Sus scrofa: one gene and its partner. The protein of the gene in region 1 interacts with the protein of each later gene in a pairwise test. Links are inferred from orthologs where the notes say so. Each region holds a gene or a part of one and is shown on either strand. Other genes may lie near its edges. The genes, in order: GPSM3 and GNAI3.

Region 1 (4,261 bases):
GAGGGGTTGTGGAGTGGAAAAAATATGGATTGACTGCATAAACTTGTCAGAATTTTGTGTCCTGGGTTCAACATTTGGATGGATGCTTTGAGTCCAGTTTTAAGAGCAAGAATCAATAGATTGGGGGGTCTTACTTTAATTTAAGGTATTGTCTAAAGGGAAGAGTCTCTAGGAACCCAGGGAGAAACCACACACACACTAAATCACGCCTACCCTTTGTCCCTCTTCCAAGGGCTTTTTGTTACAGGCATTTAGGAGATTCCTGAGGCCTCAAGTAGAGGGAGATGGAGAGAGCATCTCAAACTTTAACCACCAATCAGCAATACAGTTAATTATATCTCTTTTTTTCTTTTTTTTTAGGGCCTTCCCCATGGCATATGGAGGTTCCTGGCTAGGCGTCGAATCAGAGCTGTAGCCACTGGCCTACGCCAGAGCCACAGCAACGCGGGATCCGAGCCGCATCTGCACCTACATGACAGCTCATAGCAACACCAGACCCTTAACCCACTGAGCGAGGCCAAGGATCAAACCTGCGTCCTCATGGATACTAGTCAGATTCATTACCCGCTGAGCCATGACAGGAACTCCTAGTTATACCTCTTTCAAGGCAATGGACCTGAGACACAGAGGCATGAAGCATTTTTAAGGCTAATAATAACTACCATTTATTAAGCATTCACAATGTGCCAAATGCTTTATCACATTGAATCCTCATATCAACTCTATTTTTAAAAAACTCCAGAGTTCCCACTGTGGTGCAGCAGGTTAAGGATCCAGCGTTGCCTCCGTGGCAGTGTAGGTTCAATCCCCAGCCCAGCACAGCAGGCAAAGGACCCAGCGTTGCCTGGATTCCATCCTTGGCCTGGCAACTTCCACATGCGCACGTGAGGCCAAAAAGGAAAAACAAAAACGAAAACCTCCATTTTAATCTTTCAGAAACTGAGGCACAGATTTTATTTGCCCAAGATTGGAAGGCATTAAGTGGCAAAACTTGATCTTGTCATCATATTTCATGCTTAAAGTCACTCAGTTCATAGGACAGGTTGCTATTTGGAGGTCCCAAATGTCTCTGCTGTCCTGTTCCCACCTCGGCATCAGCCAATCTGACCAGCATCGAATAAAGAGAGACCAAGCCAGGTTTAATCCTCTCCCTTTCCTATTTCATGACTAGAGGGAAGCTTCCCCTGCCCCCTTGTCTCTTACGTGTGCTGCATATTTTGTCCCCTGAATAGACCGCAAGTACCCATAGGGCAATGATAACTATTCTACACATTTATTAGACACAGTGCTAGGAGGATATGTATATGTTTGAGAGCCTGACATCCCTGGATCTGAGTCTTCTGCTTCCCCCTGGAACCATGCTCCTCCCAGTCCCAGTAAGTCTGACAGAGGCTGAGGAAGAGGGTCCTTCTTGGGGAAGATACCTGGGGCAATGAATGGGGGGGGGGGTTGGGGGGGTTCTGAGGAGTGAAACCACTTCCTTTGTAGCTAGTTCCTGTGTTGACAGAACTGCAGGGGAGGAGGGGGGGTGGAGGGAACAGAGTTGGGGGGTTAGGGGGCTACTGAGGCTCTGGAGATGAGAATGCCAAAAGTCCTTCCCCACCCTGAACCTCCACCACTGCAGCAGCTGGAGGAGCTTTTCCCAGTCTCTGTGCTCCCCTGAGGCAAGCGAGGTCTAGCAAGCAGCTTGGGTGGGAAAAGAGAACTGGAGGAAGTTGACAGGGATGGGCGGGGCCGGTGGGGGGGCTGACCAGGAACCCAGCTTCCTGCTCAGTACCCAGGCATCCAGCCCCCGGCTCACCCCCACCCCTTTCAGCCCCTACTCCCCTCAGGACCTCAGGGTTCCGGCCCTCCTCCCAAATCCCACCCCCCCATCGGCTTCTCCCCTCCAGGGGATGGAGGCTGAGAGACCCCAGGAAGAAGAGAATGGTGAGCAGGTGAGCTGAGTACTGGGTCGGGGAGGCTGACACTGCGAGAGGGAGGTGAGAAGACCTGAGAAAGAGACTGAGTCATGGTGGACTCCGGGGACGCGGAGGGGCTTGGGCACACTGAGGCAGAAACAGACACAGAGAGAGGAAATGGGCTACTCGCCTAGCCCTCTGCCCACCCCACCCCTGCCTGACTGGCTGGAACCGCTGTCTCTCAGCATCAGGACCCCGATCAGGATGAGCATGGCTGGCCCCCTGTGAACACCAGCACTCGGCCTTGGCGATCTGCTCCTCCGTCCCCTCCTCCTTCAGGGACCCGCCACACAGGTACCCCCACCCACCCAGGGAACTCCCTGACCCTGGTGCCCACATCCTCCCTGATCCCGTTACCAAGCCCCACTCCATCACGGGCTCCTTCCCCACCTCCTCCAGACTCCCCATCACACCCCTGAGCCCTGATCCCAAGTCCCTCAACACCTTACCCTGCACCCCCCCACACACACACACCCCACTCCTGACTGCCAGCTTCTCTGGGTCTCTGAGCCCTCCCCCTCCTCTCCCAGCCGTGGGGCCCCGTTCGGCCTCCCTTCTCTCCCTGCAGACTGAGCTGCTCCTGGACCTGGTGGCTGAAGCCCAGTCCCGCCGCCTAGAAGAACAGAGGGCCACCTTCCATGCCCCCCAGAAGCTCCCAAGCCTAGGCCGAGTCCCACCCCGGCCTCTTGAGGACAGAGAACAGCTCTACAGCACTATCCTCAGTCACCAGGTGAGTCACCCCACTGCCTGCCCCCCCAGGAGACAAGGCCCAGGCTTCTTGGTCTCTTGGTCCCTGTTCTCTTTGGGGCCCCACCCCTCCTTCTCCCCAGGCACCTGCCCTAGTCCCCCATCCCCATCACACATGTCCTATATGCCCCTCACACCAGCCTGGCTCCTTTCAAGGCCTGCTCCTCTTAGAACCTTACCAACAACCTTCCCTGCCTCTCCTCCTCCAGTGCCAGCGGATGGAAGCCCAGCGGTCAGAGCCTCCCCTACCCCCAGGGGGGCAGGAGCTCCTGGAGTTGCTGCTGAGAGTTCAGGGTGGAGGTCGAATGGAGGAGCAAAGGTCCCAGCCCCCCACACACACCTGCTAAGACTTGAGCTCCCACCAGCCCTTCTGCACTCCCGGGGTTCAAAGCTGGGCGGCCCACTGCAGGCCTTGAGCCCTGCCCCGCAGGGGCACCAGAGACTGGAAGAACCAGCAGAATTCTCAATATTCACTGCCCTCATCCACCTTTCCTGGGAACTAGAGGGGGTGAAAGTCCTCAAACCCTGGGAATTGTCAAGGTAGGATGGATATTTAACTCCCCCTGTGACCAAGTAGGTGGGAGCTTGAGGCCGGGAGAGGATCCTAGGTACAGAGGGACACCTCACCCTTTCCTCTGATCTCAGGGAGGGCCTGGAGTCTTGGTCCTGAGCTGTGGGGACACCCTCCCCCCATAGTCTGGCCACCAGGTGGGAGCTGAGGGCTCAGGCCTCCACCTCCCAAGGAGGCAAATCTCCGGAGGTTCTGACCTGAGAGACAGTTCCACCCTTCTTCCCAACAAGAAGGGAGGAGAGGGCACAGCAGAGACATTGACTCTTCTCCCACCCCCCCACCCCCCCACCCTGGCACATCGCCCCCCCAGCCCCAGAACTGAGGGGCCTACAGCCTGTGGATGGACATTGAGCCCTGCCCACCCTCCCTCCCCACTGCTGTTCTGAACTGTCTGATGTTTGGTTATGTGAATAAATATAATTCCCCTCTGGACTGAAGACTGGTGTCTGGGTGGCAGGGTGGAGGGTAGGAAGGTGAGGCCAGAGGCCGCCACTCTCTCCAGTCTGGCCAGAGGCCAGCTCCCCTCCCTGGCTGGTTAATTACTGGCTCATTAAGCAGCGGCTAGAGACCTTCCTAATTATCCCCCCCAGCCCCCCTCTCCTGGTTTTAATTAAGTAGAACAGGGAGGGGAGTCATTAGGAGAAGAAATATGAACTAAGCTGTCTGTGAACCCAGGCATTCCCGCGGCCGGAGTCCACATCAGCTAGAACCCGGATTCAGAACCCCGGCGGCAGGTGCCCCCAGCCCCCAACACGGCGCCCTCCCAAGCCACAGAGGTCCATCCCTGGGGCCTTCCCTTCTTTTCCCCAAGGGCCAGTCTCCTCCCCTCGTCCCCTCCTCCACTTGGTCTCAGTTCCTCTGTTTCTGTGTCTCTCTCCGCCCCCAGCTCCTCCCTGTTCCTCCTCTCTTCTCCCCTCCTCTTCCTCCCCAGCTCCCCTCCCCCAGCCTCCTCCTCCCTCCTCCCCCCTCCTCCCTCCTCCCT
Region 2 (4,398 bases), on another chromosome or scaffold:
GTTGGCTCTCAAGAAATCCCTCTGAGGGTCAACAGTCACTATATAGACCTTTCTGTTGGGACCTAATATTCTAAGGTTTAGATTCTATTAAGGAAATAGTTTTTAATTTCAGGGAAAGACTTGGAGGCTACAAGAATTCCTCTCCCTAGACTATACGGTGAGAGAATTTGCAGGCTATTTGGAAATGAAGGTAATTAAGGGACACTTTCACTGTAGTATCCAGGATTATGGATAAAAAGTCTGGGGCTTTCACAGGGGATTTATCAACTTTCAGGTGATGCTATAGCCGAGAGACAAATTTTACTAGAACTTCGCTTTTCTTGTGTTACCACAACAGGAAGTTTTAGGAGATTTATAGGATGTACTGGTTTTGGGTGTGGGACTTTGATTGACTAATCTTGGTAGACGTCCTAACCCCTAATGCAGGACGATCTGTGAGCGCTAACACTGGCTTGCCTTGGGGAAAGGTAACGCGGGAATTTTCTGGAGCAACTACACTCTTTATCTTTCAGGTAATTTAAGATCTGTTAGCGATTTCACGTGGCCCTTTGCCAACATAGTAGCTGGGCAACTCTCAAGCCCACAGGGTACAGCTAAGAGAAGGAGGCGGTGGGCCAGAGGGCAGAAAGGGATCCATGAAGTCCCAACCATGGCCGATCTTACTTATTTCAGATGTGGAGCGTGGCCAGGGTCCAGACATAATTCTCACCCTAGCGATCTGGCTGAGACAACCCTGGCAGAGAAAGTGTTCTACACTTGGGCAGGGGCCCCAGATCGTCACAGCCAGAGTTCAGATGGGCTTTCTGGCCAGTGAGAAATTCCCAGCAGAAATTCCCGTGCGGGCTGTGGGCAATTATTTGGGAAGTCCCACCCCCCCAAGCCAATCTGAAGCTGGCTATGTGACCTCGGGAGGATGCCTTGAGCTGGAGCAACCAGTCCCTGGCTTTTCTGCATTTATCCAAACAAGGCAGCCGAAAAAAAAGGTGAAAGGGGACTAAGGTCGAGCGGAGCCCGGGGGAGCTCGAGAGAGCCTCCCCACTTCACCAGAATCGCCGACCGCCCTCCCAACCCTCTCTCTGTACTTCCGCTTTCGGTTGTGCCTCCCCTACCCCAGCCAGAAAGGTCCGCGCAGCAACGGCGCGGGGCGTCGCCGGAAGTGTCGTGAAACTCCGGATATCCGGTTCCTTCGGGCGCTCCGGGGGCTGACGGAGAGGGCCGCCGCCCAGCAGTAGACGCTGTCTCAGCCGGCCGAGCCGCAGTCTCCGCGGTGTGTTAAGTGAGCCCCGGCCCGGTCCCCACTCCCGCCGCCGCCATGGGCTGCACGTTGAGCGCCGAAGACAAGGCGGCGGTGGAACGGAGCAAGATGATCGACCGCAACTTGCGGGAGGATGGGGAGAAAGCGGCGAAAGAAGTGAAGCTGCTGCTACTTGGTGAGGAGCTGGGGGCGGGGCTGGCGGAGGTTTCGGGAGGGCCCAGGCACTCGGGAGCCCTGAGCCGGGAGCCCTGAGCCGGGGTCAGACCGGGCCCTCGGAAAGGACCCCGAAGGGTCTGGAGGCAGTGACGGGCTCAAGGCGGGGTGTGGGGCTGGTGGCTGAGGCCTCGGGCGGGCTTGATGAGAGGTGGGGTTTTGAGGTGTTTGAAATTAGGCGAGAGGGTGCGACTCCATGCTGTAATTGCGTTTAGCGGAGAGAGCTTGGGAATATGGTCCAGTAGGACATTGAGACTTTATTAGGAATATGGGAAGAGCTCAGATTAGGGAAGGTTTTGCAAGTGAGGGGTTGGAATGAGTTGGTAGCAAGGAGGGTGGGAGAGGGTGTTGGGCTTGTATAATGGCTTGCGAGTGTGCATGCAGCATGGTGATACTTTGTGACAGGATAGAGCTGGGAGGCTTGAGTGGTTAATAGAAATAGAGGGGCCGAGACAGCGGTTCCGGAGGACCTTGCCATTTATTAGAGTGGGCATTTTGAACTGTCTGGAAGGCGAAGGAACCCCGGGTTATCCAGGAACACGAAGATGTGTAGTTGAGGTAAATGACAGGTTCTAGGGTATAAAGGAAAAGAATTCGGGTGCAGAGGCTGTGTGTACTTATCCACCTTTTTCTGTGATATTTATTCTCTTAAGGTTTTATAACTCCTTGCCTTGTTTTCATAAGGGGGAGGTGGTGTGAGCTGAGGAAATTTATGTCCTGGTTTGTTTGAGGTTTGTGGCATAAGATGTAATGGTGTCAATAGATTACACAGTGGAAGTTTCTGAATAGTTACTAAGAATGATGGGCAGTGGGAATGCAGTTATCTAAAAATAAATTGTGGAATTGGACATACTTACTGTTAAAAGTGTGACAGCGACAGACCTGTACTTTTTTTGTTTTTTTCAAACTAAAAATAATTGGCTTCAGAAGTTCCCGCCATAGCGCAGTGGAAAGGAATCCGACTAGGAACCATAAGGTTGTGGGTTCGATCCCTGGCCTTGCTCAGTGGGTTAAGGATCTGGTGTTGCTGTGGCTCTGGCCGTAGGCCAGTAGCAACAGCTTGGATTGGACCCCTAGCCTGGGAACCTCCATATGCCGCAGGTCTGGCCCTAAAAAGATAAAAATTTTAAAAACATAAAAATATTGGCTTCAGGAATTACTGTTTATTTTAGTTGACATTCGTTTTAAGCAGCTTTTACAGTCAGATGCATTTTACTCAGCATGATTTGTTTTAGAATTTTGAGACACTGATTTCTAGAGGCTCAGTGAATCAGATAAAGTACCCTAGCATCAGCTTACCAATAAATCAAGCCACATTTCTTCACTGTTAGTGTTTTCTAGGGATCCGTTAGGGAAGAACAAGTGGGAGTAACAATTTCTGTAAGCAGTATCACTTTACTTTTTGAAACAATTGATTTTTGAGAAAAAGAGGTTGATTTAGGAGAAGTGCTAAGTTTTTATAATATAAAGCTCCAGAGGATAGAATGCACCACCATAACCCGAGGTTTGTTTTGGGCGCCCATGCTCGTCTCTTCATGTTAACATGTTTGATGGTTTGTAGATTGCAGAAACCCTGGTAACAGCTTTTTGAATAAAGAGGGAAAGTTAGGCATTGGAGCTTGAGCTTTCAGTTTGAATACCAAGCCTATAGAATGTATGAATTCAAATTGAAGTTCCAGTCTGCCACTCTCTATTAACAGCATTTGTGAATGAGTGGGGTCGCTGGTATGTAGTGGGTGCTTTTAAAATACATACTGTTAACCAGCTAATGTTGGACATTGCTCCTTGGGGCTTTTCAGATGTTTGATATAAACCATAATACTTAAGACGTTGGGGTTGTCTCTATTGACTGATTGGTTATGAAAGTAAAGGTAAACTGTGAGTCTTTCTTTCAAATGACAGGATTTGGCAGGCAGAACTTAGGCAAGCAGAACTTGTTCAAATGTCTAGAAAAATCTTTATTCAAGACTTCATAAATAGTACATTTAATTAAAAACAAAATTAAACAGATGATCACTTAGGGAACTTCAAAAGCAGTAAGTAAAATTAAAGTATTAAAGCATTTGCTTTTACTTTATTTTTTTTTTTGTCTTTTTGCCTTTTCTAGGGCTGCTCCTTCAGCATATGGAAGTTCCCAGGCTAGGGGTCTAATTGGAGCTGTAGCCGCCCGCCTACGCCAGAGCTGCAGCAACACCAGATCCGAGCCGCGTCTACAACCCACACCACAGTTCACAGCAACCCACTGAGCAAGGCCAGGGATCCAGCCCGCAGCCTCATGGCTCCTAGTCAGATTCGTTAACCACTAAGCCATGACGGGAACTCATGCTTTTACTTTTTATCAATTTTATTGTTTTAAGTAAGAGTTTAAAAATATTCTTGAGCAAGTTAAATCAACAGATTCAAATAGGTTACAGAGACAGATGCTCTTGCTTGAACCATAACATAACCCACCTGTGAAATTAAATATCTTCCTTGCTATTTCTGTAAGCATGATGCACCCATCACAGCGTACAAATAATTTTCTTTTTGCTGTAGAATAACTCCTTTGATGTACATGCAAGTCATTTTTATTTCAACACGGCAAGACTGTTAAACTTAGTCTAAGTTGAAATCTGTTTACATACTCTTGTCTCTCCTGGCACATAATAGGTGTTCGTTAAAGATGACTGTCTTTTCCTTCCTTGCTGGGAAGCGGTTTAGGGTAGTGATTAATAAATAACATGGGGTCTGAAGTTAGACTGTTTCAAGTGGTAATTTCCACTTACCAGCTATAACTTTGGGAAAGTTATTTACTCATTTTCTCTCTGCCTCAGTTTCCTAATTTTTTTCCTCCTATTTTTGGCTGCCCCACGGCATATGGAGCTCCTGGGCCAGGGATAGGATCCGAGCTCCAGTTGTGGCCTATGTGGCGATGGCAGCAGCGGGATCCT

The links.
Region 2: the proteins of GPSM3 (region 1) and GNAI3 interact in binary tests that used the Homo sapiens proteins (3 or more experiments, as listed by UniProt). The two-hybrid records come from large-scale screens. The link is inferred for Sus scrofa from reciprocal best matches to the Homo sapiens genes GPSM3 and GNAI3.

Annotation. Positions count from the first base shown.
Region 1 is NC_010449.5:24,227,023-24,231,283, reverse strand, and holds GPSM3 (G-protein-signaling modulator 3), read left to right. Parts: upstream 1-1,507; 5' UTR 1,508-1,724; coding exon of another isoform or gene 1,725-1,895; coding exon 1,896-1,937; intron 1,938-2,146; coding exon of another isoform or gene 2,147-2,152; coding exon 2,153-2,255; intron 2,256-2,491; coding exon 2,492-2,691; intron 2,692-2,917; coding exon 2,918-3,055; 3' UTR 3,056-3,711; downstream 3,712-4,261. UniProt on the Homo sapiens protein: Interacts with subunit of G(i) alpha proteins and regulates the activation of G(i) alpha proteins.
Region 2 is NC_010446.5:110,575,827-110,580,224, reverse strand, and holds the start of GNAI3 (guanine nucleotide-binding protein G(k) subunit alpha), read left to right. Parts: upstream 1-1,312; coding exon 1,313-1,430; intron 1,431-4,398. UniProt on the Homo sapiens protein: Heterotrimeric guanine nucleotide-binding proteins (G proteins) function as transducers downstream of G protein-coupled receptors (GPCRs) in numerous signaling cascades.